Tamandua tetradactyla: one gene and its partners. The protein of the gene in region 3 purifies or fractionates together with the protein of the main gene of each other region. This does not show direct contact. Links are inferred from orthologs where the notes say so. Each region holds a gene or a part of one and is shown on either strand. Other genes may lie near its edges.

The links.
Region 1: the proteins of HDAC2 (region 3) and MIER3 purify together in Homo sapiens (affinity purification with mass spectrometry; 3 studies listed by BioGRID and IntAct, with this or other methods). This does not show direct contact. The link is inferred for Tamandua tetradactyla from reciprocal best matches to the Homo sapiens genes HDAC2 and MIER3.
Region 2: the proteins of HDAC2 (region 3) and ZMYM3 purify together in Homo sapiens (affinity purification with mass spectrometry; 6 studies listed by BioGRID and IntAct, with this or other methods). This does not show direct contact. The link is inferred for Tamandua tetradactyla from reciprocal best matches to the Homo sapiens genes HDAC2 and ZMYM3.
Region 4: the proteins of HDAC2 (region 3) and DDX5 purify together in Homo sapiens (affinity purification with western blotting; 3 studies listed by BioGRID, with this or other methods). This does not show direct contact. The link is inferred for Tamandua tetradactyla from reciprocal best matches to the Homo sapiens genes HDAC2 and DDX5.

The regions. Positions count from the first base shown.
Region 1 is NC_135335.1:103,570,440-103,578,264, forward strand, and holds the start of MIER3 (mesoderm induction early response protein 3), read right to left. Parts: upstream 3,098-7,825; 5' UTR 3,083-3,097; coding exon 3,074-3,082; intron 2,997-3,073; exon of another isoform or gene 2,977-2,996; intron 1,621-2,976; exon of another isoform or gene 1,619-1,620; coding exon 1,594-1,618; intron 1,146-1,593; exon of another isoform or gene 873-1,145; intron 1-872.
Region 2 is NC_135353.1:100,364,499-100,372,032, reverse strand, and holds the start of ZMYM3 (zinc finger MYM-type protein 3), read right to left. Parts: upstream 3,137-7,534; 5' UTR 3,062-3,136; intron 2,751-3,061; exon of another isoform or gene 2,611-2,750; intron 1,856-2,610; 5' UTR 1,837-1,855; coding exon 1,170-1,836; intron 167-1,169; coding exon 123-166; intron 1-122. UniProt on the Homo sapiens protein: Plays a role in the regulation of cell morphology and cytoskeletal organization.
Region 3 is NC_135331.1:172,998,366-173,006,252, forward strand, and holds the start of HDAC2 (histone deacetylase 2), read right to left. Parts: upstream 3,071-7,887; 5' UTR 2,819-3,070; coding exon 2,767-2,818; intron 1-2,766. UniProt on the Homo sapiens protein: Histone deacetylase that catalyzes the deacetylation of lysine residues on the N-terminal part of the core histones (H2A, H2B, H3 and H4).
Region 4 is NC_135332.1:5,711,707-5,719,734, reverse strand, and holds the start of DDX5 (putative ATP-dependent RNA helicase DDX5), read left to right. Parts: upstream 1-4,775; 5' UTR 4,776-4,799; coding exon 4,800-4,966; intron 4,967-5,300; coding exon 5,301-5,466; intron 5,467-5,809; coding exon 5,810-5,906; intron 5,907-5,986; coding exon 5,987-6,120; intron 6,121-6,241; coding exon 6,242-6,307; intron 6,308-6,532; coding exon 6,533-6,674; intron 6,675-6,751; coding exon 6,752-6,912; intron 6,913-7,350; coding exon 7,351-7,523; intron 7,524-7,946; coding exon 7,947-8,028. Other genes in the region: CEP95 (centrosomal protein of 95 kDa), read right to left, coding at 88-195, 1,459-1,587, 2,971-2,989. UniProt on the Homo sapiens protein: Involved in the alternative regulation of pre-mRNA splicing; its RNA helicase activity is necessary for increasing tau exon 10 inclusion and occurs in a RBM4-dependent manner. Binds to the tau pre-mRNA in the stem-loop region downstream of exon 10.

The DNA of each region.
Region 1 (7,825 bases), on a different chromosome or scaffold from region 3:
GACTTTCCACCAACTTGGGGACAATCTGTGTTATATTTTTTTGTTATCCTCATATCACTTGGCACAGCAGGCCACCCCCTTCATATGGAAGATATTCAATAAGGGGCAGAAATTGGAGGGCCTGAGGGCTACTGGTTTTGTCCCTGACTGTCTGTGGGACCAGTGTAAGTCATTTAAACTTTCTGGGACTAGGTCCAGTTCTTCAATTGTAAAATACAGAGGGTTAATTTAAATGACCCTCAAGAGTCCCTTCTAGCTCTAAAATGCTTTAAAAAATCAGCTAATTGATTAAAAACAGGTTATAAAGCTTGGTTTAGATACCAAAACCGCATTGCCTTTTTTCTTTCTTTTTATTTAGATCACAACTTAACAGCAGAAAATGATGCAAAATGGAAAAATTCCATTATCATCCAGATGTTTGGCAATGGTTAGATAAATATTCTTTTCCTGAAATCAGTAATGACAAAGAAATGTTTATCTCAAAATTAGAGAAACTTTAAAAACAATTAAAAAAACAAAAAGACATAGCTATTTTTATAATAGCCACAAATTTCTTCAACTTGGTGTTAATTATTTTATAATACTTTAAATAATAATCAAGTGAGGCCTTGAAAGCCTACTAAACACAAAAAGCAGTATTCCAGGGAAATGGAAGGCACCGTATTGTAATGGAAGACTTGGGAGATAGTCCAGGCTCTGCCATTAACTGGGGGATTCTCAGCAGAGTCATTTAAAAGTCTGTCTCCTAGACAATAAAATAAGGGAGTTAAACTACTTCAGAAATACTTTTTCCTGCAGATTATGAGAAAGAAAAGAGGCAGTCAAAATGGAGACTGGACAGGTATAAGAAACTAGAACAAAGCTGTCCTTACCACACGCAGAAAGGTCTTTACTATGGACCAACTTCAGGGGGTTCAACAAGCCTCAAATGTGCACAATTATGCACATGTAGAGTGTTCTGGGGAGTGAATCCCTTGCTTTCATCAGATTCTGACAGGGGTCCGTGACTTCCAAAAGACTAAGAAACAAACACTGTTGTAGATGATCTAAGACTCTCAGTTCAAAAACCGTATCATCACTTTTCTGTGCAAACTTGAAAGTTCTGTTTCTTTTGAATAAGGTAGCTTTACTTAACTCTCAATTGGCTGTTTAAAAAGAGACGCAATAAAGGGGAAAGGGGAATTGTGGTTAATCTATTAAAAGTTTCCATCTCTTGATTATTAAAGAGTCAGTCTCTCTAAGAAATCAAAATTAAAATCTAAACTAAACTGCTCAAGTTAATGGAAAGTTGATTGGGGATTAACTGTTTCAGGCTTGGAGAAAAAGATACGTGAGAATTAAAGACATAATTTAACAGGGCAGTTATTTGTTACCTGCTTTGTAACGAGGTATTTTTCAAACATGCAAGGAAAAAAAAGAACAATAAAACTGCTCGTTCCTCGAATAACTTAACTACTAAATGCACAGTCAAACTCTTAAAAACAAATCGCGGGATAAATTTTTGTGGAGAAACCTTTAACGACAAATCTTTGAGCCCCCAATATAGAGGGTTCCTGCTGGGACCCACCAAAGAGGTAAGAAAATAGAACAAACCTGGGCTCGAACTTCCAAAAGAAGCCTAGGAAAGAGAAGAAAACGTGCGGTTAGATCGCGCAGCCCGGGAAGAAGCAATGCCGGCAACAGGGCTCAAAGAAGGCGGAGCCCGGCGCTCCTCCGCAGCTGCCAAAAGTGCAAGACGTAGCTTCACTCCAAATGCTCCCGGCCCCTTTCGGGCCCCCTCTTGGCTGCCTCGCCTTCCTCCCCGAGTCCCCAGCGTACAAACTCGCAGACCCGGGACCAAGGCTAGAGTCTAACAAGCAACTCCAAGCCTCCTTTTGGAGCACAGGAAGTTACAAAGTAAAGAAGCAAAACCTAGCGCCGTCGGATCGCAGCATCGGTCTCTCACCTTGGCATCTGGGGAGTCCCCAAAATCCCACCAGGCTCCCAGCACCCCAAACCAACTCCACACAACGCAAAACCCTTCCCTTAAAGGGACTCGCCCTCCGAGCACTGAGTTCGCCCCCTGGGGCCCGGGACCCCTAACTCCGGGACTGTCTTCTGCCCCAAAGCGCAGTAAGGCTTAGCAGACCGACATTGGCCCCCAAACCAAAGCGCGCGCCCCTCATTCTCTCCCCGAGTCCAGAGATGCAGCCCCAAGGTCCCTGGCAAACTGTTTTTCCCCCAGGGCGTGCAGCCCCTTGCCGGGCCCGCCGGCGCGCCCCTCGGCCGGGCCGGCGCCCACTAAGGGGCTTCTGCTGCGCCACCCCCTCCCCCATCTCACTTGTCCCACGGGAGATGGCCGGGGCAGCTTCTCTCCTGCCTCCCCTTCCAGCTCGAAGGAAAGTGGGGCTACCGACCCGTCCTCCGGGAGAAGGCAAAAGAGTCTCGGTTTGTCCCCCTCACTCCCGGGGGCTCTTGCACCTCCCTGGCTGCGGGGCGGGGTGTCCCGCTCACCTCCCGCAGAGCAGGGCGGCCGCGCATCCCGCTTGCCTCCGCGCCCGAAGCAAAGTGGAGCGTGAGGGCCCTTCACGCCGCAACCCGGGCCCGGCGGGCCGGGGGCGCAGCGCACTCTTCCCGCGGGGACAAGACGCAGCCAGCTCCCGGCTTTGCAATCGGCCCGGGAAAGAGGGAGCCGGGCTCCGTCGGTTTCCACCCACCCTGGACCCGGGAGGCAGCGCGGAGGTGCCGGCGGCCCGCGTCAGCGGCCTGGGAGCCGGTATGGCGCCGTCCCCGGGCCAGGGCTCGCTGCCGCCGTCCGTGCCCCCCACTCGGCCCCGTCGCTTAGTCTGGCCGGGGCTGGAGCTGCCGCGGCCTAGTCCCGGAGGGAGACCGCTCCCGCGCCCGCTCCCGCCCCCCGGCCGGCCCCGCCGCGGCCCGCCCCCGCCCCGTAGCTCCCGCCCCACTCAGCCGGCCCCCGTGAGGCTGCGGGTAGCGCACCAGAACCCTCGGATCGGCTCTGGGGTCGCGGGGAGCCGCCGGGGGCCGCCGGACGCCCGCTCCAGCCCGGCCGCTCCTGCCCGGTTTCCCTGCTCACCTCCGCCATATTGGTACCTTTAGGGCGAACGAGCAGCGCTGAGCCCAGTCCCCGGATGGGGCGCCTGAGCCAATCGCAGCCGCCGCCGCGGTCCGCCCGGCACCCGCCCGGCGGCGGAGGCGGCTCGGCCCCTTATAGGGCAGGGCGGCCCGCGACACCCCCGGCGGGCTCACGCGCCCACCGCGCCGGACCCCTCGCCGCGCAGCCCCTGGCGCCCGCCGGCCGCCTCCCCGGCTCCGCACTCACCGCCCTTACCCACCCGACTGGAGGAAAGTTCCGGCCACCAGTGTCCGAATTGGAGGAAAGTGGGAGACGGACGGGTGCGGGACGGACCCACGTCCAGCCACTCGAGGCCGAAGAGCCGGGCGGGTGTAACTGGAAATTGACCCACAGACACTTGGGACCGGCCAGGGTGTGGGGTGGACGGGCTGGAGACTTGAACGGCGGCGGAGGGGACAACTCGACAGACTACCCTAAGTAAGGAGAGGCGAGATCGGTGGAGGAGACTGATGCACGGGGGGAAGCTTTGGAAATGGGAGAAGGGACTGCTGGACCGCAGGATCAGTCAAGAATGAAAGGACAGGGACCAGGCATTTTTGCGGTTTCCCTGAAGAGAAGAGGAGGACCACCAGGAATTAGGGATGCAGCAGGGTTGTGGAGTGGAAGGTGGAAGTGCTCATTTGCCAAACATTCTGGAAGGTAGTTAACAGTACAGAAGATCAACTGGGCAGAAAAATGATGATGAACATACTTGCACAATTCCAAAGAAGATGCAAATAAAATAAAAGCTCTGCATCCGAAGAAAGAACAGTCCTAGGGGTTGTTAATTACCAGATAATCCAGGAGATGACCCAGAGGTACGCACTTGATAGCCCGTTGAAGGGCAGGCTAGCATATGAAAGGTGCTGAATTGACACCTCTACTTCCCTCTTCCCCACAAAAAGGCCAAACATTTGTTTAGGGTCAAACGAGGGGACTAGTCCTGTGAGCAGGTGGATCAGTGGAAGAGGGAGGAAAAGTCAGGGATAAAAGCAACAGGTGTACCTGCTCCCACTCTTGTCGTATGGCTACATGCTCTTCTTCCTTGGGGGAGGTAAGTCTAACACCTGGAGGGTCCACACTTCACAGCTTTGAGTAAAGGACACACACAAACAGGCACTGGTGTGTCCTTGGTGGTTGGTCCACAGAGGTTGGTCCTGCAAGAAGTGAAGGTTGCATGCTGGGTTGCCCTGGCAAATTTGGAAGACATACATAGTCCTCCTAAGGTGGGAGGCCAGACATATCCATATATGTGGCAAAGAAAGCCAGAGAGTTGTGGAAAAGTAAAATCTGCGGTAAGGTGTGTGTAGAGGTGAGGTGAAACACAATCAAATTCCTGTAGTGCATTACATAATTTTGTAGAGAGAAGGGTGAGCTCAGAGACTAGATCTATTCTCCCAACTGGATGCTGTTACATATCTGATACTAAATTGAGATTTAGTATTATTACTCAATACTAAATTGAGAGTTGAGGATTTTTATTGTAATCTCAGAAATTGAGAGAAAACTTTCCATACTTGTAGTCCAAATCTGAAAGTTCTGAATTTTAACTGTGGGGTCTCCTTCAGTTTCCCCAACTGACCACAGGGCTCATACTGAGGATGGGTCTGGAGACTATTTTGTGGGGGGAGAGGAGGTTACTTTAAAAATTTTTGCCAAGCATCTCAAAATTAAATTTCCACCACCAGTAAAATTATTTATTTATGGAAATTTTTAGAGAAAAATCACTTCAACAATTTCAAAAACACCATAAAGACATGGAAAATTACACTTTCCCTGCTGCAAAAGATATCTTATGACCTTTCGTCCAGTCAAATAACTCAAAAACAGCTGAACTTTGAAACCAGAGGGTTGGCACGCGTTGTATGTACTGTCCCCAACGAGGCGTTTACAGTTTCCAACATAAAAAATGACTTGAAATTAAGTGCAAGTGATTAACTTTAGAACTGTGATAGCACAGCACGTGCTATGAACAGAGCCATTAAACAGAGACCTGCATAGCATGACCAGAAACTGACCTGGCTCAGAATTGGGAAGAAAGTGTCTCTTAACAGCCAGCCTCCTTCTTTACACTAGGAAAAATGTTTTCTTGGTAGCACAACTTGGGTAATTCAATCTATAGTGGGGTCTAGATCCCATTTAGCTATGTCTGAGAAATACACTTAGGGCTTGCACTAAATCTGACAGATTGTTTTTGTTTAACTTGTAAAGAATATTTTGTATAGGCATTTTTAACTTTGACTGCTAATCTACTCAATCATAGTACAGAGTTGATGTAATCTGTGTCCAGTGAGTTAAAGATTCATAGAAAAATAAATGAAGCTAAATTAATTACTAGTTTAAGAAAGCAGAGCTACTTTTATCCTTTTGGTGCTACAAAAAATGTTCACCACAGTCTTACAAAACACATTCCTTTTATGATAAAGAATGTAAAGTTTACTGTATGTAAATGGATCTTGCATCTTTTTTTTAACTTTTTTTATTGTATAGTATAACATATACAAAGCAAAGAAATAAAAATGCAGTAGTTTTCAAAGCACTCTTCAACAAGTAGTTATAGGACAGACCCCAGAGTTTGTCATGGGCTAAAATACGATCTCTCAATTTTTCCTTCTAGCTGTTCCAAAACATAGACGGCTAGAGGGCTTGAATACTTTTTTATCATCACAATCAATTTTCTTCCTTTTTTTTGTGAGCAATAACAAATATACAAAAAAGTTATAAATTTCAAAGCACAGCACCACAATTAGTTGTAGAACATATTTCAGAGTTTGACATGGTTTACAATTTCACAATTTTAGGTTTTTACTTCTAGCTGCTCTAAAATACTGGAGACTAAAAGGGATATCAATTTAATGATTCAGCATTCATATTCATTTGTTAAGTCCTATCTTCTATGTATAATTCTACCATCACCTTTGATCTTTCCATACCTCTCTTTGGGGTTGTTTGGGCTATGGCAATTCTTAATTTTTCATATTGAAAGGGTCTGTCACTAATATGGGGTAGGGAGATGGAGCTATCTGATGTTCTGGAGAGGCTGGGCTAGGTTTCAGGACTTATCTGGACTAGAGACCTATCTGGAGGTCATAGGGTTCTGGAAAGGTACTCTACTGTCTGGAACCCTTGTGGAATCTTATATATTGCTGTAGGTGTTCTTTAGGATTGGCTGGAATGGTCCTGGTTGGGGGTTGGCAGGTTATGCTAGGTAGCAAGGTCTACCTGAAGCTTGTTTAAGTGCAACCTCCAGAGTAGCCTCTCAACTCTATTTGAACTTTCTCTTCCACTGATACTTTATTAATTACACTTCTTTTCCCCCTTTTGCTCAGGATGTAATTATTGATCCCACGGTGCCAAGTCTGGATTCATCCTTGGGAGTCCTTTCCTACGTCACCAGGGAGACTTTCCCCCCTGGATGTCATGTCCCATGTAGGGGGTGGGCAATGATTTCACTTGCAGAGTTGGGCTTAGAGAGACTGAGACCACATCTGAGCAACAACAGATGTCCTCCAGAAGTAACTCTTAGGCATGCCTGTAGGTAGTCTAAGCTTTTATGCTACCTACATAAGCTTCACAATAGCAAGCCCCATGATTGAGGGCATGGCCTATTGATATGGGTGTCCGTAAAGTTTGACATAGTATCAGGGGATTCCCTGATGGTAAGGTTTAATAGTTCCATAGTCTTTCTCCCTTCCCTCAGGGGACTTTGCCAATACTTTTTAATTCTAGGATGTTTCCAGGCCTTACAGTAATCTATACAGGATTAAAGGAACTCTTTCTTATTCTGTGCTTCCTGTCTTTCAGTTGTTCAAATGAGCTATACAGATAGGTTGAATTAGATTTGCGCTACAGAAAATTTCAGTTCCAAATCAAATAAACCTTCTGTTGATCTCAAAGAATATCTGTGGTTCTAAAATATAAACACTGTCTTCCTTACCCCTATATTCTGAATTGCTTTAACCCCAACCTGTTCAGCTTTGTTCTTATCTTAAATATCAGGTTATATATATATAAAACAGCCTCTCAAAGTCCAGAAATAATAATCACCACTCTGGACTTAATGTGTCTGTTCTAAAAGCTTACAATCTAGGCCCCTGTTTTCTTATGAGCATTTTCTCAAGGAGACCATACCATTGTTGTTTTTTTGTTTCTGGCTTATTTTGTATCACCAAATGTCCCACATGTTCATTCACTTTGTTGCATGCCTCACGACATTGTTCCTTTTCGTAGCAGCACAACCTTCTTTCATAAGTATAGTTTGAAGTATATACGCTTTCATAAGTGTATATAGTTCACCAATCTATTTCTATGTCAGTGCATCCTTCAGCCACCTGCATTCATCAGGCATCACGTAGAGGGCCCAAAGTCCACAGTCCATCAGCATTTTCAATTTTAGATGATTTCTTTGTTGCGAAGAGACCTAAAACCAATAAACACACCCTCCCCAAATAGGGAATCTAAACCTCTTCTTAACTCTTGTCTCTCACCCCATTATTTACCTCTGCTGTTGCTGTGGTAGTGCTGATGGTTTCCTTTTGAACATAGCTCATAGAATGCAATAGCAGTTTTCCCCCATACCCTGGATTTAAACACTCTTTGTACAAGAATCATATCTTTGAAGTAATTTGAATAAGAGCTCACTCATATTTCTAGTGTGAGTCAGTGGGACACGTAGGTCTATACAACCCCTTTCAATCTTGTTCATCTTCAATA
Region 2 (7,534 bases), on a different chromosome or scaffold from region 3:
CTTCACTCCACTCACACACACCCTCCACAAAACAACATCTGGGAGGGAAAATGAAGGGCCTGTCCTTCCCAGAGCTATAGGGATAACCAGACTCCTTCCCCTCCCCTCCCCCACCCCCTCACCCTCTCAGGCGGCTTCTCACTCGCCTTCCCAGTCAGGCCATCTCCTGCAAAGGAAGCAGAAGGTAGCCTAAATCTTGAGCCTGCCCTTGCCCACCCCACCCTGCCCCAACCCCCACCTCCCAATTCAGGGAAAGAACTTACTCAAAACTGAAAGGGAAAACTCGAGTGTCTGTGGCTTCTTGGGGCCCCTCCCCTGGTTACCTTGGGCTCTGTACTAAGGGGGCAGGGCGCAGCTACTCTCTATGAAAACAAAAAGCACCCCTACCCTTCCCATCAGCTTTTCTGTCCTCAATCATTGGGAGTTAAGGAAACACAGATAACACACCTTTCATCCAGAATTTGTTTTACCAACAAAGACAAATGCAACCACCCAACAGCAGCAAGGGGGAAAGGAAGTACAAATGTATGGGTAGGTTCCTCTGGCCTCAGGTGGTTGGTTATATAAAAGCCCTAGGACCCTGGGCACACACAGCCTGGGAGAGGAACAGGACTAGGCCAAACAGGGGAGGAACTGGAGCTTCTCACGTTCAGGCTGCCCCTCCCACATCAGAGACACACTCTACATTTCTACCATTCTCCTGAAATCTTTATGCTCTTGGTGGCTCCAGAATCTAGTTGTCATTCATCAAACCCAGAAACCCCACTCCCATTTAGAATAAAACAGTTGCAGAGATCTTAGAACCAAGAAGCCTATTTTCTTCCCTAAATCCTGAGGGATGGATCCTGGCACCAAAAGCCCATTTGAGTAATAATAAAAGGGAACATCTCCCATCAAAACCACTCCCCCCAACCCACCACCCTGATACCTCACCCCTATCCCTCCCTCCACACCCCCTGTGCTTCCCCTCACCCCTACTTTCCTTCCTCTTCTTCACCACATCCCCACTCCTCCCTCCCAAACCTCCGCCTTCTTACCCCCTCCCACACCTCTACTCTTCCCTCTCCATTCTCCTCCTCTCCTGCTTCTTCCCCCAAACACAGAGCCACTCCTCCTTACACCCACCCTCTCTGCCCAGCCTCAATTCATCATCTGATTAGGCAACCTACCTGGCAAGGAAGGGTGTGCAGGGGGGCTGGGGCCCCTAGGTTTGGTCTGAGAACCGTTGATTCCATCCCCCAGAGTCTCTCCCACTGAAGGACTGGGGGGGCCATTGGGGCTCTGTGGCTGCCCTCGGGGAAGCTCCTCCTCCTGCCCAGGGGGATCCCTTCTCCCTGTAGTAATGGAACTGGTCTCCTCCTCTTCAATATGGGGAGACTGCAGGGTTATTGGAGAATCTGGGGCCAAAGGCTCTAGTAGCCCCTGGGGAGAAGAGGGGTTTGCCCCAGTCCCTGGGTCAGGTGGCACCACCTCAGGGGTCTGGCCCCCTGGTCCAGGCTCTAGGGTCTGATCCCCTGCATCCCACGCAAGGGTCCCCTCAGGACCATGGTCCACTTCTGGGGGTGAGGGGGCTTTATAGAGCAGCCCCCCCAGCCCCAGCAGCTCAGTGGCTCCACCTAGGACTCCAGGGTCTTTTTCCAGACCAGCAGGGGTATCAAGCAGGTCCAGGGCTCCAGAGGATGGAGAAGGGCCAGGGGGGACCCATCCTCGAGTCGGGGCAGTCTGGGATTCCAGCAGATCTTCTCCAAATTCCATGTCCACTGGAAGGTCTCCAGCCAGGGGTTTCTCTGGCAGGGTCAATGGGTCAAATGGACTGGGGAAATCACTGGGGTCCATGAGGAAGGCCGGATATGGGCTGGAGATCAGGGGTACAACAGAAGGCAAGTAGAGGTGGTCTTAGCCAGAATTCCTTCTCATGGAGGCTCTGAGACACACCCCAACATCCACTTGGATTTCACATGAACAGCCCCCATCACCACAACCAAAAAGCATTTCCACAGGCTTTAGTCCAAAAGACCACTCCCCCCCTCCCCATACAGCGCCCCCTGTGGGGAGAGGCGTTCCCCGCCCTGGCCCTGTGCCCACACTCAATAAGCCAGTGGGTCATTCAACCGCCCGATTGCAACCCCCACCCCCGACTGCAACTCCCACTTCCCCTCCCCCCTTACCTTTCAACCCCCCCCCCCAACTCGGCCTTAAGAGTCTCCTAGGGCCTTCGCCACCCGGAGGCTTTCCCGCCCCCGCGATCTCAGTTTCTATTTCCTTCCCATTCCCCTTAAAGCCCCCCCAGCTCCCCAGTCTTTACCCACCCTGTCTAGCCCCACCCCCCCTCCCCGCGTAGCATGGTCCTCCCTTGGCCCTTCCCCCGCCCCCACAAACTGCCCTTCCTAACCCCTCCCCCCCAATTACCTTTCAGGGTCGCCCACTTCCTCAACCCCGTCCCCTTTTCCTATTGCTCCCCCAGTCCTCCCTTCTCCTGTTGCCCACCCCCCACCTCAGGCATTTACAGGAAGACATTTTGGAGCTACGATCTCTCCTTAGACCCCCCTCCCGGCTACTGCGAGCTCCCGCCTGCAGGTTCGGTTCGGCTGGATCAGGCCCGACCCCTACCTGCGGCAGGGTTAGTGTAACCGCTACAAGCCTAGAACTGCAGACAGCGATGGCCCCGCGCTCCTTCTCCACCTCCCTCCCTAGCAGCCGGGACAGGGGTCGCGGCCCCTTTAAATGGCAGCGCCGCTCACAGCGCCCAGCGCTCTGCACCAGGCGGGCGGGCGGCGCCAGCAACCAACCCCATTGGCTGGCTCGAGGAGGGGGCTCGCGAGACAGCGCCGGCCCCCGGCGCGAGACTCCCAGCCCAGTGGCCGCCTGGAAATTGCGGAGTGGAGTTTGGTCGTTGGAGATGGAGCTTGAGCCCCCGCCCGGGGCCCCGTTAGTTGAGCAGGAAAAGATAGCCTCTGGAGCTTTGAAGCCCGCCCCCGGGAAAGGCGTCGCCCCCTTTTCACCAAGGGGCCGAGTACACTAACCCACAGAAAACACAGATCTACGCACCTGCTTCCCTTACCTGGCCCAAGAGTCTGGCCCCCGTCACACCCGTGCCCGCCCTACCTCCTGGAGCCCACTCTACCCGTGATCCCCTCCTCTCATTCAAATGGTTCCCGGTCCCCTCCCCCTCCCCGTGTCTCTCTTCTCTTCCCACTCGTGTTCAACCCTCCGGCATCCGCCCCCCCTCAACAGTCACTACCTACGCCATGCAGCAGGCGCCTGCCAAGCTTACCCTCCCCCCATCCCCACCTCTCCGGGGCCTGCCCCCGGGGCGACTGTTGGGGTAATGAGTGACAGCAGAGGGTGGAGGGAGGCAGGGACCCAGCCTTCACGTGCCCCTCCTCCCCTTGTCTACAGCCTCGGGCCCCCCTAACCAGTCGAAGGGTCGTAGTTTTGAGGCGTCTTAAGCTTGGTCTCCAGCCACCCCGGGCGGGTTAAATGGCTCTGGCTCAGTGTCAACGCCTATGCAGTGACCATTATTGCTGATGCCCCCCAAATCCAGGCCCTGCAAAGACACCCCCCCCTACACACACACACACACACTCCCTCAGCGGTCTTAGGGTAAGTTCTAGGATCTTCTTCCTGAGTCCTCCTACAAGAGCTCCCTGCATTATCTCTGGAATAGTTTTTCTCACCAGGGCCGATAGCCCTCCTCCCTCCCTTTCTGTCTCCCGTCTGTCTGTCTTTTGCTTCCACTCTTTCTCCCTCTCTCTTTCTGTCCTTGTCTGTCTCTTTTTGCTCTCTCTCTTCCTCGCGCGCGCTCTTTCTCTCTCTCTCTCCCCGGTCTCTTTTTGTCTCCGTCTCTGTCTCTTCTATGCACGAGCTTGCATGCGTGTAAATACACACGCACTCACACACACACGCTCCCCCCTCCTGGATGGTCCTTAACATGTGGGTGTGGCTGAGGTTGAGGCTAGAGAGGTGGGATGGGGGGAGGGGGCACTAGCCTTAGGCCAGGGCTTTAAACAAGTGTGCAAGGATCCTTTCTCAGTCCTCATTATAGTTAGAGCACTTTACAATCCCTGCTTCTCACCTTTCCTCCCCAGCTCTTAAGGGGTATTTAATAGCTGAGATATTGGAGGAGGCTCCTGCTGGAAGGGAGTTCAGCCACAGAACTTGTAGGCTTGGTGGCTGGTATTGAATACTGTAGCCTGACTCTTTGCCCTCGGGACTTTTCTCCTTCCCACCCTAAGCCTCTCCTAGCCTTATAGTCCTCCCAAGTTTTATCCTCCCTTTACTCATCCGCTTTTCCAGAAACCTTATCCCTCCCAGTTCCTCACATGGCCTTGAGGTTATCTTTGCTCTTTCCTATATACATATAAAGACAAAAGCAAAAGCTTTTTTTTTCCTTTTAAATTTCACAACTGCAGCTTTCTCCTTATCTCAATCAGTGTTCTGTGTACCCATCTCCCACCTTCTGCTTATTTCTATGTCCTTGTGCCTCCCTGTTGTTTTTCAGTTTGTTCCATCTCAGTTGGGCCACCTAGTTCTTTTGTATTATCTGTGTTCCTCATGCTTGGATCCTTTGCTGTTCTGGTTGTGGAGAGTGCTTTGTCACTAGCTTTCAAGTTGAGAGGAGAAAATGGAAGGGCAGTTAATGGTGTATTATTATTTCTAGAGCTGGTGTGGTGTATAAAGTGCTTGAGTTCTAGAGTCAGCTAGACCAAAATTCTAATCTCAACTCAGCCTGCTTTCTAGCCAGATAACTTGGGACAAGTGACTTGTCAAGTCACTGGGGTTTACTTTTCTCATCCTTAAACAGAGGTGAGGAAACAGTCTTAAGTGTCCAATAATAGGCACTAGGTTAAATCAATTTAGTTACTGTCATGCAATGTATGTCATCATTAACAACCACATTTTGAAAAACCAATTACATGCAAAAATACTCATAGAATATTAAATGTCAAAAAGGAGTTAAAATATCCTAATTTTATAGAAAAAAATCTATTTTTACCACGTATGCATACGAAATGACTGGAAAGAAATACATCAACATTTTTAGAGTAATTATGTGTGGTTGGAATATATATGAGTTTAAAAAATAGTTTCTTGCATTGCTTCTCTTTATTTTCTAAATTTGTCTACTAACACATATTGCTCTTATAATCAGGAGAAATATTAACATTTTAAAATGAGGATATTAATACCTACTTTGCAGGGTAAAGTAGGAAGGAAGTTTGGAAGGATTAGAAATAATGTGCCAGGCACATGATAGGCTTTCAATAATTTGTTTTCTAAGGAGCCAGTGTGCATAATAGAAAGAGACTTCCTTTTTCAGTCAGAAAGATAAGGGTCCAAATACTGATTCTGTGATTCAGTACTTATGGGACTATTCTGAATGTTAGTTGTCCACAAACATAAAGTGGGGATAATAATACCCATAGGCCTCATATCCATAAAGGGACTATTTTTTTTTTTTAAGTGGAAAGTAATAAAGTGCTGACGAGGATGTATTGGTTCATTGTTAGTGGGAATGTACAATGGTGCAGCACCAGTGGAAAACACCTTGGCAATTCCTCAAAAACTTAAGCATACGGCTACCATATGACCCGACAGTCCCACTTCTGGAAATTTACTTGAAAGAACAGAAAGCAGGAATTCAGACAGATATTTGTACACCAATGTTCATAGCAGCACGAGTCACAATAGCCAAAAGGTAGAAGCAATCCAAATGTCCATCAACAGATGAATGAATAAGCAAAATATGGTATATACATACAATGGAGTATTAGCCTTAAAATAGGAATGAAGTTCTGATGCATGCAAAAACATGGAAGAACTTTGAAGGCATCATGTCAAGTGAAATAAGTCAGACACAAATGGACAGATATTGGATGATTCCACGCATATGAAATAGCTAACAAAACTTGCAAATTCATAGAGACCGAAAGTAGAGTACAGGTTACCAGGGGCGGGGTGGGGAGAGGGGGAATAGGGAGTTGATACCTGATGGGCGAGGGATTTCTGTTTGGGGCGATGGGAAAATTCTGGAAATGGATGGTATGAAGGGAGTGCAACATTATGAATGTGATTAATCCCACTGAATAGTATGCTTGGGAGTGGTTGAGATGGGAAAGTTTATGTGGTATATATGCTACCATACAGGTACAAAAAAACAACTAAGGAAACAATGACAAGTAAATAATCCTGAATGAGGTCTAATAATGGAGGAGTAAAGGCCCAAAAGGACATTACTGAGACATATGAAAAAATTGGAATATACTTATAAGTTTTATCTCAATGTCAAATTCCTTGAAATTGATCATTGTACTTAAGGTGGTTACATAAGTGAATCTCCTTATTCTTAGGCAATATATGTGGGAGTATTAAGTGTTCAAGGAGCTGATATATACAACCTGCTTTCAAAGGTTTAAAAAATAGATAAATGGGTAGATAAATGGACTGATATGCTGAGTGATACAGCAAATGTAGAAGAAATGTTGAAAATTGGTGGATCTGAGTATCTAGGTGTTGGAGTTCTCTGTGTGGGTTTTGTGTTAATTTCGCATCTGTCTTGTAAGTTTGAAATAACTTCAAAACTAAAAGTTAAAGAGTAAAAAAATAATAACTCATAGGGATGCTATTGAGATTAAGTGAGATGTGACCTTTGCCTGACATATAGCAGGTTCTCAATAATGTTGGTAACTATTATCTTTATAAAAGAAACATGTAGCCAAGAGAGATCAAATGGAGTCAAGATGCTATTCTGGAGGTTGCTCTTATGCAAGCTTTAGTTACATAGTGCTAATTGCCATGGTTTGCTAACCCCCAACCAACATCACTCCTGTTGACTCTTAAAAACAACTACGCTCAGACTGAGACTCTATAAAAGTTTCATGCACTAAGTTTGCTTTCCTGGAACCTATAACTCCAGGAGGGTTCTTAGGTCAGATAAATCCTGAAACCCAGAGGGACTAGCCGGTCCAAGATAACCAATTAATTAGAGTCCCCTATTTTTAGTGTCGACCCCTTTCTGAACATGAAAAAGTTAAAACGGGTCTTGTCCAAAGATCCCTATAGATTGGGAGAAGAATCAGAAAAGAAGGAGGAGGTGTAACAGAATAGAGGATTTAACAAATGAGTTATGATTGCTGAATCACTAGTTTTTAAGTATTTTTATTGACAAATATTCACAAATGTACAGTCCATACATGGCGTACAATCAATGGCTCACAATATAATCACATAGTTGTGTATTCATCACCTTGATCGTTTTTAAAACATTTGCATCACTTCAGACTATAAAGTGTTCTAGTTTGCAAGCTGCTGGAATGCAATACACCAGAATGGGACGGGCTTTAAAAAGGGGAATTTAATAAGTTGCTAGTTTACAATTCTAAGGCCAAGAAAATGTCCTAATTTAAGCAAGTCTATAAAAATGTCCAAATTAAGGCAATCACAAGAGGTTACCTTAACTCAAGAAAGGCTGGTGAAGTTCAGGGTTTCTCTCTCAACTGGAAAGGCACATGGAGACCATAGTGATGTCTTCTAG
Region 3 (7,887 bases):
GGATACAGAGACTTAAAAACACATGGGGAGAGAAACAAGTCGGGTGGTAAATGTTATAGGAAGAAAAATAAAGCAGTAATGCTAATTGAGTTTTACCTAGGGTAACTGGAGAAAGCCTCTCTGATAAGGTGAAATACGAAGGAACTAAGAGCAAAGTGGTCAGTGTTTTTCTTTGGTACTGTTTTCCAAACATTTTGATTATGCACTCCTGTCAGATGGAGTAGGCTGGTGGGGGAAATCGGGCAGAGCAATGTGTAAAATTACATAAATTATGTATATATGCAACCCTATTATATATATATCATAGAAGAGACGTTAAATATGCTTGGTCTCAAGCTTAATTCAAAACCAAGTATAGTCAATATTTCTAGATGAAGTATTAAAAGTGTATTGTAATTAAAGCAAACATAGCTTGATTTGCTAACAACATTTTTAACTATAAAAACCACATAATTTTAGGGAGGAATGAGTAATTAGCTATATCATTTTAAAGATTATTGATCTTAGAGTATGTAAGAAAAATAACGAAGACTTTAGAAATAGTTTTCAGAAACTTTGAAAGTATGTGTCAATAGATACAATAAAAGAAGTAAGATCTCTTACTTTTCTTCAAATGTTTAAAGATACTTCATCAATACCTAATGATTCGCTTGGAACTGGCATTCTAGTATTCTAAAGAGCATTCTACTGAAGAGCGCAAATATAGTGAGAAATGCATATAATTTTAGAGGCATCAGTCACACTGAGATGCAAACAACTGCAAAGGTAATTTCTTTGTCACTAAGAGCTTCATCATACAGCCTGCCCCATGTCCCCAGTAAGCCTAAATGTATGGTTACAGAATTTGCTAGTTCTCTCTTTCCCACTTTATTTTTCTTCCTTCCTTCTACTTCCTTTACCAACAAATTAGAACCAGAAAATTTAGACTTGGAGATTTCTTCAGGCCCTATTAGTACTGATACTACTTGACCCCCAATCCAATACATGCTGTATACCTCCAGTCATATAATTCTTTGGTACAGAAACTTTTATTTAATCCTCTTCCTCCACATTAAAAAAAAAAAAAAAAAAAAAGAACTGCTATTTGCTACCCTTATAAGAGTTATTTTGGGGGGTAATGAAGATGTAAGTTTTTGGAATTAAGGTGCAGACCTCAGCATACTATCACATATTCACAGTTTCACAGTTACATAATGGTATTTATCCAACTTTTAAACACCTCTACAAAATATTGTATTAGGCACATACACATAAACTCTAGAGGGAGGTGACCCCTCCATGAATATTTCAAATGTAAGCAATAAATAATTCCATTCTAAAGATGAAGAGTCAACTAAGAACCACAGACAAAAGACAAGTAACCCAACAGAATTCCAAATTATATAAGTTAAATTCGTGATTGTTGGCTGTCTGGTAAAGAAGTTTGAATGGTCTACAATAAAGTATTGATTAATTCACTAAATACCACAGGACTCTCAAATAGTCTCATTTTACCTATCAAGTCTGCATTCTGCCCCTGGGACCAGTGCCTGCCCCATTTCTTCAACAAAGGTTCATCATGGATGAGCCCAGGAACAAACAGCTGTTACAGACTCCTAGTTCCTATGTTAATTTTTGCAATGCCTTCACTCAAGAGCAACCTACTAGAAACTACTCCATTTAATATAATTTAGACCAGCACAGGAAATAGGATTCAAATTTAATGTTCGAACTTCAATTTAAGAACCCCTGAAATTATCTTTTACAATTCACTGTACTGTGAGGTTGCTCGTTCACCTGATGAGGATATTTGGTACTTCCGCACTGCTCCTCAAACTTTTCCTGCACCAGGAGTCCCACCTAGGAACGGGCTTCACAAGCAAGATGCAATGCTCTCCTATACCTCCAAAGGAAGGTCTATTTCCTGACCGAACAAAGAGCAACGAAGAAGTGGGTGGTAACCACCACCTCAGAGGCAAGTCAGGACCCATCGAATCTGATGCACCATACAAGCAACAACAGCTTCACATTTCTCTACAACCTCCTCTTATTTCTCGGGAAGACTAACTGCCTCGAACTCGAAAACCTTAATGTTTATCGAGCAAGTGCAGCTCTTTCATTCGTATCCTTAGAAAGTGGCGCCCAAACAACCCGTTAACAAAGAAGAGGGAAGGAGTCCACGCCGAACAAGGGTGGGAGAGTGCCACAGGCCGGACTTGGGCCCACAACCTCAGTAACTACTCTCAAGCCCCGACCCGGGTCGACAGGTCTCGGGAGTGGCCGGAGACGGAGAAACGAGACCCTCGGGCCAGACGTCGGCAGAGACCGAGAACAAGGAGGGAAGAGACGGCGGGACTGGGGGAGGGAAGGGGGCTGGGGGTGGAGCTCCCGCGGCCGCGGGGCTTTGTGTGGAGTCAGGGCCGGGGTGAGATTCTGACCCCGGGGAAGGGGTCGGGTGCAGAGGCCAGCGCAGGGCAACCTCAAACCCCCAGTCCCACGAGGACAGCCGACCCCTCGCCACCATCGACGAGCCGGGGTAGGCCGCGCCGCCCCAGGGGTTGGCCCCTCGGGGCGGCGGGCCGCACAGCCAGAGAAAGGGGGCAAGAGGGAAGCGGGGCGTCGACCCGCTCTCGCCAACGGTGCCGGGTCCGGAAAGGGTTAAAATGCGGCCAAGCGTCGGTTCCTCCTCCTTCCCACTCCCCAACACCAGCGCCCACTCGCGACGGTGGCCACCGACCCACGACCTCATCCGTGCCCGCCTACCCTCCCGCCGGCCCGACCTCTCACCATCGTAGTAGTAGCAGACTTTCTTCTTGCCGCCTCCCTGACTGTACGCCATGGGCTCCCCGGCCACCTCCGGGCTCCGGCTCCTCCTCCGGCTGCTGCTGCTGCTGCTGCTGCCGCCGCGGGCCGGCAGGGAGAGAGAAGGGCTGGGTTGAAGGCGGGGGTGGCAGTCCGGTGGGGAAGGGCAGGCCGAAGGGAGGAAAGAGGGGATGCCGGGAGGGGTCGGTACAGCCCCGCCAAGGGGCCGAGAGCGCGGAGCGGGGGTCCGCTGCAGCACCAACTCGCGACACTGGGGAGGGGGAGGGGGCGACCAAACCACCTACGGAGGCCTTGGGGAGGTGGGACGTGCCCACGATGGCCACCGCGGGGGGGGGAAGGGGCATGCCTACAGGAAAAGGCCGCTTCAGACTTAGGATAAAACTCCTTCTGATATTGAACAGCTTGCGGAAGGCGGCTCCAAGTACAGGCTCAAAACTAGAAAAAAGAGGCAAATTTTCCCTCTGCAAATAGGTAAAGGCAGGATCCTGGTGACAATCCCCCCCTCAGATCTTTGCACAGTGGTTGTGCCTGTCCCGAGCCTGCGCAGTCGATACCTTCCCAACCGTAGTCTTGGCGGTCTAGACCCGGTCCGCGTCGTCCCGCGCCGCTCCCCTCCCCCTCAGTCGCGAAGCTCCCGCGCGATTCGACCACGTGCCGCGAGCCGGAAGGGAGCGACCACCTTCGTGAGCTTTGGCTCCCATCCCCGCCCCCCACCGCCCCAGTACCTGCTCGTCTCGGTCTTCTCATTTATCCTTCCGTTTTTTGGTGACAATTTCAATGAAGTATTGAACTGCCCAGGGGGAACTATTACAAACGTTCAGGGGAAGACTACACTGCCTGGGGTTGAATAAGCATTTATAGGAGACATTTATGAATGAGTCATGGTTCTAAGCGTTTACATTTATAATATATTTCATTTACATCTATTAATAATAGATGCCTATTATCACATTTAAGATTCCCAGCAACGCTGGAGGTAAGTCCTTCTTCTTAGATGTGAGCAGATTAAGGAACTTGGTCCTCTCAAGTCCTAACTGATCGTCTGGAGATTTGAACTCAGTCTTTCTCCAAATTCTAGATGCCCCTGCCTAATTAGATTGCTTCTGCTGCTGGCTGGTCACTGGAAGATTGGAACAGAGAGTAAAAGAAGGGACTTTCAGAACTCCAGGAAGTGATAAATACCTGTGTCCCCGTGTTCATTGAATCAACACACACTTATCCAGCACCTATTCTAAGTGAGTTGCATTACATACAAATGGGGGGGGACAGGAGGGAAGATTGACCAGTCTTTCAGTGTAACGCTTATCTTAACGATATCATTGGCAATTTCCCCCACAGCGTACAGTCCCTTCCACACCCCCATCAAAAAGGAAGCCTTAACTGAAGTGGGGACCAGTTGGAGCCACTAGGAAAAACTTGACTTTTATTTTGCTTAGACTTTAAATTCCCAAGGTGTTCATACTTAAAGCAGCAATTTTCCTGGGCCTCACCTCCCACCCCCACCCCCAAGTGATTTAAAAAAGTCACTCCCTTTCTTGTATTTTTATCAAGCACCCCAGGTAACTAATGCAATTAATACAGAAACCACAGTGTGTGTAGCATTGGTTTAGAGGTAAAGTTAATTACATGATATTGGCTTCTAGGTTTTGCTCCATCAAATCCAAAATCAACTGGTGGATTCTGAGACCGGAATAGGTTAATTTAATAGATGTTAATGTTACTCCCCAGAGCCAAGCTAGTAAGGTCTAGAAATGAGACTTTACTTTCTTCAAGACTTCCCTGAGTTCCTTCTGGTCTTTTCTCTGTGCCCTTCACATACTCCTCTTGCACCCTATAGCCCCTCCAGCTCCCTGGCAGTATCCATGTTGCCTACAACTTGTCTGAATGTCCCATTAGAATAGAGCTCTATGTAGAGGGGGACCATGTCTACCTTGTCATAATTGTACCTCTAGTGCCTGTGTGACTTTGTGACTTGAATTGCTGAATTGCTTTATCTGTAAAATGGCATAGTATTACTTGCAGAGTGATTCCTAATACGAATAAATACTGAGAGGGTCAGAAAAGAAAATTACTATGGAAACTTTTTAAACAGTGAGGAACTATGTGGATACAAGGGATTACTATGATTACTACTGTTGTTGTTATTGTTTTCATCCAAAAAGCCTAGCCTTGACATTGTGAGAAGAGTCTGAACATGTGTTTTGATTGCTTGAGGAACTTGCTTTGTTATTTATTATATAATAGTTTTAGAACAGTAGAAGTAAATGATTTTGCCCTAAGATAGCAGCATTAGAAGAGTTGGATCTAGTGTTAAGAGCTGGCCATGAAAATTATGTCCCTGCACATCTAGAACAAACTTTAGGTCATTAAATCTAATCAGTTATTGAAACCCACTGATAAGCTCCAAACTTCATTCACCATATCCAAACTCATCTCTCTCAAAACCTTTTTATGAGTATTTAATTATCATCCTTATCCTTAAACTATATATATATATATATTTTAGTTCTTGCTGTAATTGAAGTTTTCAATCCTGAAGATGTTTAGTGCTTTGGAATTATTCAATAAAATGAACTGTTAAACATAAGTGGATGATTTAGAAATAGGACTGTTTGGAAATCGATTGCTTTAGCTTATGGTAAAAGTTGAACCCTACTACCAACGGCAGCAGATAGTTTAATTTTAGTTGCTATAAAATTATTCATATAAACTTGTTACTATCGTAAAGAAATGCATATTTCTTTGTGTTAAGTTCTGTGTTGCAATTTATAAAGTACTAGAAAAGGTAGAGGAGTATGGTACAGCTTCAGGCTGAATTCTGCTCTCCTTGGAAGCATAGTGCCTATTTTTATGTAGTACTGTAAGATGTAACTCATAAATCTGAAACAGCACCAAACAATGAAAACTTAAAGTGCTATGTGACCTGTTCGTTTATTTAACAACATTAAAAATGACCTATTAATAGAAAATATATTTTTGAACTACAAGTTATCTACTAAATTACTTAGGCCTATTAAATCTTTCAAATCATTCTATAGTTCATTGTTGATGAGTGGTTTGCCCATGATCTTCTAAACAGTATCCACCTATTGCACACTTTATTTAAATAAAATTCTACATGCACACTACGTTTGGTAGAATCTACTTGTTAGTGTCTCTGAATCACTCTATGTGTACATATCTTAGTTATTCCTCTTTGTTATCCCAGACTTAACGTTCTTTCGATCTGGTCCTCATTCTATTCCACCTATCACTAGAACTCTACAGATGAGTCTTTAAATGGGAAGCTTTGCTAAAGTCTGGCAAATTGGGGCTATAACCTGCTGCCCCCCATTTATTTCTCTGGCATCCCTTGCTGTCTCTGACTGCTCATTTTCTTTTCCTTCCTTAAATATTGCTCTCCAGAGTCCCGGACCCTCTTTTCCCACTGGAGCTTACTCTTTTGGTGCTGTCTAACCCACTCAGTGACTGTTCGCTGTTGACTGTGAGTCATAATTTCCAGCCTATACCTCTCTCTTATGCTTAGCTCACTGCATGTCTGAAGGTGGATGACTTGTGGTCATCCCAAAGTCAACGTGACCAAAACACAAAGCCATTATCTTCTGTCAGATCTCTTCTTCTTGGATTCGTTTTTCCGTTAATGGTAAAACCAAACATCCAAATGCCTGAAATACCTTCCTCATGATCTCTCATTCCCACGCTAATCCATCTAGCCCAGTCTAAATAGTTACCAAATCCTGTTCTTTCTCCTGAATCTGTCTTTGAGTTGCCTCTTCTTCATGTTTAGCAAGGTCTTTGTTCAAGCCCTCAGTATCTCCTTCTAAATAATTTCAGTAACTTTGTATTTGATCTCTGATTCATCTTTCCCACTTTCATGTAAATAACTTTCTGCGTCTAATCAATACTCCTGTATTTAAGGAAATCTTTCCAAGTGCATGTTTAACACCTGTAACCATACACTAGAAACTCCAGACACATCAACTGTGCCAGTTTGAGTCTGTTGTGTAGCCCAGAAAAGCATATCTTTTAATCCTCATTCATTATGGCTGGGTGGAGTCTTTTTGATTGTTTCCATGGAGGTATGACACATCCAATTGTGGTTGATAACTTTTGATTAGATGGTTTCCATGGATATGTGTCTCCACTGATTCAAAATGGGGTTGCTTACTGGAGCCCTTTAAGAAGGAACCATTTTGGAAAAAGCTTTAGAGATATAGAACCAACAGAGCCCACACAGCCAGAGACATTTGGAGATGAAGAAAGAAAATGCCCCCGGAAAAGCCTGGAGAGAAAACTAGCAGACATTGCCATCTGCCTTTCCAGTTGAGAGAGAAACCTCAAATATCATCAGCCTTCTTGAACCAAAGTATCTTTCCCTGGATGCCTTACTTTGAACATTCTTATAGCCTTGCCTTAATTTAGACATTTTCATGGTCTTGAAACTGTAAACTTGCAACTTGTTAAATTCCCCTTTTTAAAAGCTATCCTGTTTCTGGGATATTGCATTCTGGCAACTTGCAAACTAGAATGCCAACTAAGGACAATCCCAAAACAATTCATACTTTTTAGTTTCTTAGTACCTGCCATTCCCTCTATCTAGAATTTCTCTTCCCCTGTTGCCCTTTTCTGTCTGGGACCCCCCTTCACAATGCAAGACCTAACTTAAATGACACTTTGGATGTCTCACAGTGCCCTAATTTCTTCTGCTTATATGGATACCAGTCATATGGATTAGGTCCACTGTGATTCAATTTTGACTTCATCTTAAATAGATCTTCAAAGATCTATTCACAAATGAGTCCACAACTGATTAATAATATCATCTTTAAAAGTCTTATTTACAAATGGGTTTATATAAACAGTAATGCAAACTAAGACCTAAACATATCCTTATGGGGCACATGATTCAATCCTCAACAGTGATGGAGCCATGACAGACTTATTTTTATTGTGCCATGCAAACAATTAGTTTTGGCTATATAATGACCCAGCATTTCATTGATTAATAACATATGTGACAATCACTGCACAGTGCTTAACCAATAACCATTGTCTCCTTCAAACAACTTGATTTGAGAATGGCAG
Region 4 (8,028 bases), on a different chromosome or scaffold from region 3:
TTTGGTTCAGTAAACAATGTCTAGGGGCCTATCAAACAAATTATTTTAATGAAATGCATAATCATCTGATGGTTAGTATATACCAACCTGTTATGTGAGATAAGCTGACCTGCAGGTAATCCAAGGCCAGTGAATCAATCACTGCTTGCACATTATGCGCATCATCCTCTTGACTCTTGGGAATAGCTATGACATCTGGAAAAAAGTGACATAATTTTGCTTCCATGAGGGTCCGAATTTTTATCTATTCATCTCTGACTAGATTTCTTAATAAACCCAACTGCTATAAAAGTAGGTTGTGCCCAAAGAGAAGAACTGTATAAAATCCAGATAAAGTCACAGCCTGATTACCACACAGGAGAATCTTCATCTATTCAACTGACATACATACATACATACATACATACCGTACAACAAGCACCATGCTAATGGAAGATAGAGGGGTTCCTAAATTCAAGGAGATGCTCATATTCTATTAAAGGAAGAAAAAAGGTAAGACATGAGGCGAGACTTTAACCTGTAACTGTGGGCTACTTTCCCAGGGTACCACTAGGAAAAAAAAAAAAAACAGTAGTATGAATGAAGGACTCTTACATGTCCTGCTATAGCAGCCTATCGAGAATTACGGAACAAAGGTTTAAAAAGTCAGCTCAAGAGCATGGAAAGGTTTTACTATCAAGTTAAGTTTGGATTTTCTCCTCTGGAAAAAAGAAGATCTATGTTTTGGGGCAGGATAAATTATTTTAAAAGATTGATCTAATAACTATATGCCAAACATAATTAGAGAGTCTCAATTGGATGAGACTAGTATCAAAGGCACCCACTACAGGCTATTACATCAATTCAGGAACTGAGTAAGGGTACTGGTTCATTGTAACAATGGGAAAGAGAGACTTCAGATCTTATAGTACTTAATGGTTATAAACTACATAAAGAGACAGAGGTAGTTGAGGAATCTATGGATAAACTATGAGATATTCAACCTGGGATACAGCAAAAATCACATGGTACCCCGAAAGAAATGAGCAAGTCACAACTTACAAGATGATAGGACATATGAATTTATTAACGGTCTCCTTGGTAAAGTAGGTTAATAAAGTACAAACAACAATTTTCATCTCTAATAATGTTTAAGTAAAAAGACCCAACAAATTTCTGAGCTCTACTCAATTTTAGAATCTTTGAAGGTACATCTGCAGAAAGGGTATGACTTTCATATGGCATTAGGCGAAATTTGATTAACGAGTGATTACTGAGAACCAACTGATTTAATCAAGGTTGTTATTATGGGTGGGTCCCATAAGGTATTTATTAAGGTGATAAATGCAATATTTAGATAGAAATAAGATGTAGCTAAAGAGAAAATACAAGGTTTTAAACAAAGGATCTAATTAAAGGGATGAGAAACTTCTAGTTGAAGATATAGACACAATTACTCCTGCTTTTTAGTACCCTTACCTGGTACCCTTTCTCCCAAGATTGATTGATAAAGAGCAATAAAAACTTCGGCATCACAATCTTCAAGTTCATGTATCCTCAGATGTATATGACATTTTGAAAGGAGATTATTTGCAATAGTTATCCACTCTGTTGGGAAAGGAAAGGAAAAGATCAGCCTCGAGTACTAGAAAAAGTCAAATACACATACATTAAAAAAAAACCTAACAAATCCCCAGCAATACAAACACTGAATTCCTTAGAAGACATGAAATTTGTTAAAGAACTTCAAAGACCCTACTAGACGAGACTTTTGAAAAGCAATTTCTTATGATGGCTTCCAGAGAGCTGTAATTTCAATGTAATCAACACTACGATGCAAACACAACTTTCGCTGCTGCAACCTAAGACCTTAGGTTATTTATCAGTGGATTTTATTTTATAATAGGTGTTTAAGTTAACACACATTAACAAGTAAACGGGATACGGCAAAAACAAGACGGTCTGTTAACGAAAGTAATTAATGGATGTGCCTTCAAATTCCCAACAGTTCTGGACGTGTTTTTGGCTCAATTATTTTGCGCAAGTCAGGATTTCTCCGGTGCCCAAATAGTAGTGATTAATTTAGACTGTTAAAGATTGGAGTAATGATAACACCACCACTACTGCTTTGGGTTATCAGATTTAACGTATCCGAAAGAAAATATGGGCAATACATAAGAACATTCCTGTATCCACGACCTAACCTCGAACCAGCACATTACCAATACTGTAGCTCCCTGCATGCTGTACCGCTCCTCCCAGATACTGCTGGCATTAATAAAATAGCTCAAGTGTTTCTCGACCACTTAGAAGGCTTGAAACTCTTGTTGCCTGAAATGACAGGCGATTAACTGGAAAGCACTTTTACTCCTCATTAGATATATCTCTAGCATGTTCTGGAAACAAACGCGCATTATTGGGAGTGGTTTGTACGCTGTCCTGGAGAAAAGGATGAACGCGTCCTAAACAACCAAAGCAATATGCGTTTCAGAAGCCGATGCTAGACAAAGCCGTTAACTCTCTCCAGAGGGCAGTGAAGAGAAAAAACAAAACATTATTCTAGCTTTGGCGGGGCATCAACAGCACTTAAGAGTGCTATTCCTCCAAAGTTCAATTCAAATGCCTTAGTCTCCACAATGCAAGAGCGCAAAGCACACTGGCAGTGAAAAGACACTCAAGAGAAATACAGATTCGGGGAAGATCCTTTCTGACTGCTCTTTCGTAACCTGGATACGGGTGTGTTACCGGCCTCGCCACAGACCATGCCCTCCTCCACCTCAGACCGCTACTCTAAACGGTGACGGAACTAGTCTAGGAGACCCTATTCAAAGGACCGCGGACTGCCAGGGGGTGTCTAACAGTCAGGAGCTCCGCTTTTCAGCCCAGACCAAGATTCACCCCGGCCCCTGCCCTCCAGATAAAATGGACAGGGCGTTCGGGTAGTTGGGTGGCTTCAGTCCACATAAAGCAAAAGTCCTGGCCGAGACTCACCAGCCTCCGAGCCAGCCATGTCGCGGAGGAAGGGAGTCGCAGGACTTGCAGCCAAGTGCGCGGGGACAGTGTCCTGAGAGGGTCACACAGCGCACACACAGATATCGAGGGAGGGAGAACGAAAGGAAAGTGCGGAAAAGAAGAGGTGAATGAGGGAGGGACGTTAGAACGGCTTCTCGCCGCTGATTGGTCATTAGAGGAGCACTTCCTTTCGCATCACGAGCCTAGGCGGCGGTTTGCAGGATCTAGATTCCACTCTCCGTCAGCGAGGTCCAGTTGAGGGATTCTTAAGTGAGTGGAACCGACAGGCCAGATCGCCCACGGGTCTTGGCCGGTGCCCTGGGGAATTAGAACGGCATTTCCGGAAGTAGTTCGTTTTGTATCCCTCCGCTGACGCCCGTTGGAAAGTAGTGCCGTCGGCTCAGCCGGTGGGCGGGGAGCAGCCACGTGACAATATCAGACTCCGCCTTTCCGTCCATTGGTTAAGGGCGTGGAGGCTCTCTGGGGACGTAAACATCTACAAGTGGGGAGAGCGGATTGGCCTGACCTGGCCGCCTTATCTCTAGGCTGGACCTGAAAAAGGGTGGGGTGGATTGCTTAAGATATGTAAAGACGAGAAAAAGGGGAACTCAAGAGAGTGTAGGATGCGGACCCCCAGCGTTTGGTGGGCCCGGACGTGAAAGGAACGAAAAAACCGGCGGCTACAAGGAAGGGATCCCGGAGTGGGGGGGAGGGGGGAGTGGAAGGGGAAGGGTGAGAATATGGCGGATTCCGGAACGCCGCGGGCGTTGCGGCCTCTGCGCAGGGGGCGGGGCGACTAGGTCACAGAGCGGTTCCCAGTGTCCTTTGCGGTGGCGGAGGCGGTCCAGACTATAAAACCGGCTGCCGGGAGGCGGCCGGTACCTCATTCATTTCCCCCGGTGTTTGTTGTGCAGCTCTGGGTCTTGTCATCGACTTCTCTCTGCCGCCGCCGCCCCCGCAAGGCTTCGCCGTCGCGGAAGCCTACCCCAGCGATTCCCCACACCCGATTCTCTCCAGTTCGTTCCCCACCAACCGCAACCATTGACGCCATGTCGGGTTATTCGAGTGACCGAGACCGCGGCCGGGATCGAGGGTGAGTGTGGGACCGACCTGTCAGGCCCGCGGGTGGGGGAAGGGAGGACAAGGAGGGTAGCGGCCAAGGTATGCGGGGTGGAACCTTGCCCTGCCTAGCGTAACTTTGGGCCGCCCCACTCCTAACTTTGCGCACCTTTTGACATTTACCCAAATCTGATTATGAGGGATTTGCGTGTCAACAGTTCTCAGGTCCACTTTTTGAGGGGAGGAGGGGGCTCCCGGACCTCCGCCATTTTCCGCCTGTCATGAGCATTCGGGGGACTGTGTTGTGAAGGGAGGAAAGCGCGACGCTTTGAGGCGGACTAAGTATCCGCCGTCATTAGTTCAACAATTCGGGAGGTGTTTGAGGGGATCCGGAAATTCAGTGGGAGCGAGGGGGCCGTTTCCGAAGCCATCGAGGCGGTGGCGACAGGAGGGTGGCCGGCGCTGCTGGATTCAGCCATGTGGCTGTGCCGCTGGTACAAAATGCCGGCCTCGGACATGGCGGCGGCGCCTTTGTTACCCCGCCCGGCGGAGGAGCTCAAAATGGCAGCGTCGAGAAAATGTGGCGCAGAGAGAAATGCGAGACAAAGGGGGAAGCGCCGCCCCAGCGGGAACGCCGCCTGGCCGACTCCGCCCGGGCCGGGCTCCTCCCCCGGTAGTTGCCGGCTCCTCCTTCTCCTTATTCTTGGGTTATGTAATTTTCTTACCTTGATTGAGAGCTCTTCCGCGGGATGCCCCCCAACTCCGTTTGTTTGCTATGTCCCGGAGCCCCTTGTTCTGCTCTCGATGCTGTTGCGTCATCCATTCTTAAAGCCAAAGCCCGTTTGCTTGGAAACAGCTGTAGAAATAAGGCTCCTCTTCTATCGTTTATCTCCGAAATGGAGATTTCGTTTTTAAGGTTGTGGGAAAGATTTTAACCACAAGCTGTTGTCTATCCTAGATTGCTATCTTAGTAATCTGTATTTGTGGAATTTGAGCATCCAATTTCCGATTTTATTCATAAATTATGGTTTGCTTACTGTTCCTGGCTTTAATGAGGTGTACAGGGGACGACAAGAAATAAGATTTAGGGTTAACTAACTGACTGTTGAGTGACTATCATTAAGGGCAGTAATGGGTTTTGTATGACACACAGGTGCTTTGAATAAAGTTGAATAATCCTTAGTGTGTGCCATGGAATGGTAAACTTGCATAAAAATACAAATGTTTGATTACAAACTTTTTCTTTTCAGGTTTGGTGCGCCTCGATTTGGAGGAAGTAGGGCAGGGCCCCTATCTGGAAAAAAGTTTGGAAACCCTGGGGAGAAACTAGTTAAAAAGAAGTGGAATCTTGATGAGCTGCCAAAATTTGAGAAGAATTTTTATCAAGAACACCCTGATTTGGCTAGGCGCACAGCGGTGAGTGATTTCATTTGGCTTCGTTATTAGGATATAATTCTGACTTACAATAAGTCAGAATCTGACACAAGTGTCTTGCAAATCTAGGGAGATTCATACTTTCTGGCTTCCAGCTTAGGAAAGAGGTGTGAACCATTTCTGGGAACAGGTTGCTTTGAATTTTCTAGTTAGAATGGTTATTTGATAAAATATGTATTCTTGTGCTTTGTAGGTTTTCATGTGGATCTAGGTTGAAAATCAAGGCCACTAAAAGTAGTTTATAAATTTAGGGGCTTACAGTTATATATTTAGGGGAGAGGTTATGCTGAGTCTTACTCGAGTACACTAATTACGTGTCTTTCAGCAAGAGGTAGAGGCATACAGAAGAAGCAAGGAAGTTACAGTCAGAGGTCACAACTGCCCAAAACCAGTTCTGAACTTTTATGAAGCAAACTTCCCTGGTAAGTGTTAGTTTTGAATTTGTCATCTTTACTTTCTCTTGGTGTAACATTTTTACTAAATTTGCTACCTTTGGTTACAGCAAATGTCATGGATGTGATTGCAAGACAGAACTTTACTGAGCCCACTGCTATTCAAGCTCAGGGATGGCCAGTTGCTCTAAGTGGATTGGATATGGTTGGAGTAGCACAGACTGGATCTGGGAAAACACTGTCTGTAAGTTTGGGAACACTTTGGAGTGTTCTCTAAAATATGCTAGATAAAGTGGATTCAGAATAAAAGGGGGAACAAAGAATATTTAAATGTAACTGTTTTTCTTCATCCTCCTCCCACATAGTATTTGCTTCCTGCCATTGTCCACATCAATCATCAGCCATTCCTGGAGAGAGGTGATGGGCCTATTGTAAGTATATAGTCCATTAATTTGGTTAGAAATGTAACTGAGTTGCAAAGATAGGATAATTTCTGTGGTTTTATATGTAGAGAGAATAGTAATCTCACAATTGTCACATTTTGGGAAATTGCACATTTGGAAGAAAGAAATCATGTCTGCTAGTGTAAGGCTTATAAATTAGCAGTTTAAGACTAGGGATCTAGGTCTTATGCTGAAAGCTGTTTCTTTCCTTAGTGCTTGGTGCTGGCACCAACTCGAGAACTGGCCCAACAAGTGCAGCAAGTAGCTGCTGAATACTGTAGAGCGTGTCGCTTAAAGTCTACTTGCATCTATGGCGGTGCTCCCAAGGGACCACAAATACGTGATTTGGAGAGAGGTATGTAATAGAAAAGCTTGTTGTTACTGGTGCTAAAAGTTACGTGTTTGGTGGTTACATTTTATGTTTCACTGAAGGTGTGGAAATCTGTATTGCAACACCTGGAAGACTGATCGACTTTTTAGAATGTGGGAAAACCAATCTGAGAAGAACCACCTACCTTGTCCTTGATGAAGCAGATAGGATGCTTGATATGGGCTTCGAACCCCAAATAAGGAAGATAGTGGATCAGATAAGAGTAAGTGTTTTTTTTTTTAATTCACCTAAGAACATATAAAAACAAACATTTTTAACATAACGAACATTTCATACTTGGTGTACAAATCAGTGGCTCACAGTATCATCACATAGTTGTGTATTCATCACCATGATAATTTCTTTAGAACATTTGCATCACTCCAGAAAAAGAAAAAACTCACATACCATACCTCTTACTCCTCCCTCTCATTGACATTTCTATCTATTCATTTTAACATTTGTTCCCCCCTATTTATTTTTTCATACGTTTTTTACTCATTTGTTCATACTGTAGATAAAAGGAACATCAAAGGTTTTCACAATCACATAGTCATTTGAAAAGCTATATCATTATAAGTGTTGTTAAATATGTTATCATTTCAAATTTAACTTTTTGAAAAAGTTACGATACTAATTTTTTTAACCCACATTTGTTAAGCCTGATAGGCAAACCCTAATGTGGAGTGCGACTTGGCCAAAAGAAGTAAGACAGCTTGCTGAAGATTTCCTAAAAGACTATATCCATATAAACATTGGTGCACTAGAACTGAGTGCAAACCACAATATTCTTCAGATTGTGGATGTGTGTCATGATGTAGAAAAGGATGAAAAGTAAGTTTTTCATAAGTCTTAATTGACTTTAAAAACAATTTTCTACGTAATTGAGGACTGGTTCATATATCTTTTTTTATAATGTATTTCAAAAAAGAACGAAAACAATCTTGTTATGGTCTTAAAAGTGATTTTCAGTTGGGTGGAACCTGAATATGCTTAAAACTAGTCTGTCAGTTCTTTTGGAATTGCTTTGCAGCTTTCAAATAATTTTTCACTATAGCATTTTTATAGGAAAATGAATTCCTACCCTGTGGTCTGCTTAAGGGACCAGGGATGGAATTTTGCTTGATGGTTAAGCGATCAGACAGCTATTTTCTCTTTGACTTGTAACCATATAAATTGAATTTAATGCTTCACTAGCCATAAATTTGGGGGCTGTAACTGAACTTTTACAATTTACATTTTTCCTTTTGTTCCCAGGCTTATTCGTCTAATGGAAGAGATCATGAGTGAAAAGGAGAATAAAACCATTGTTTTTGTTGAAACCAAAAGAAGATGCGAT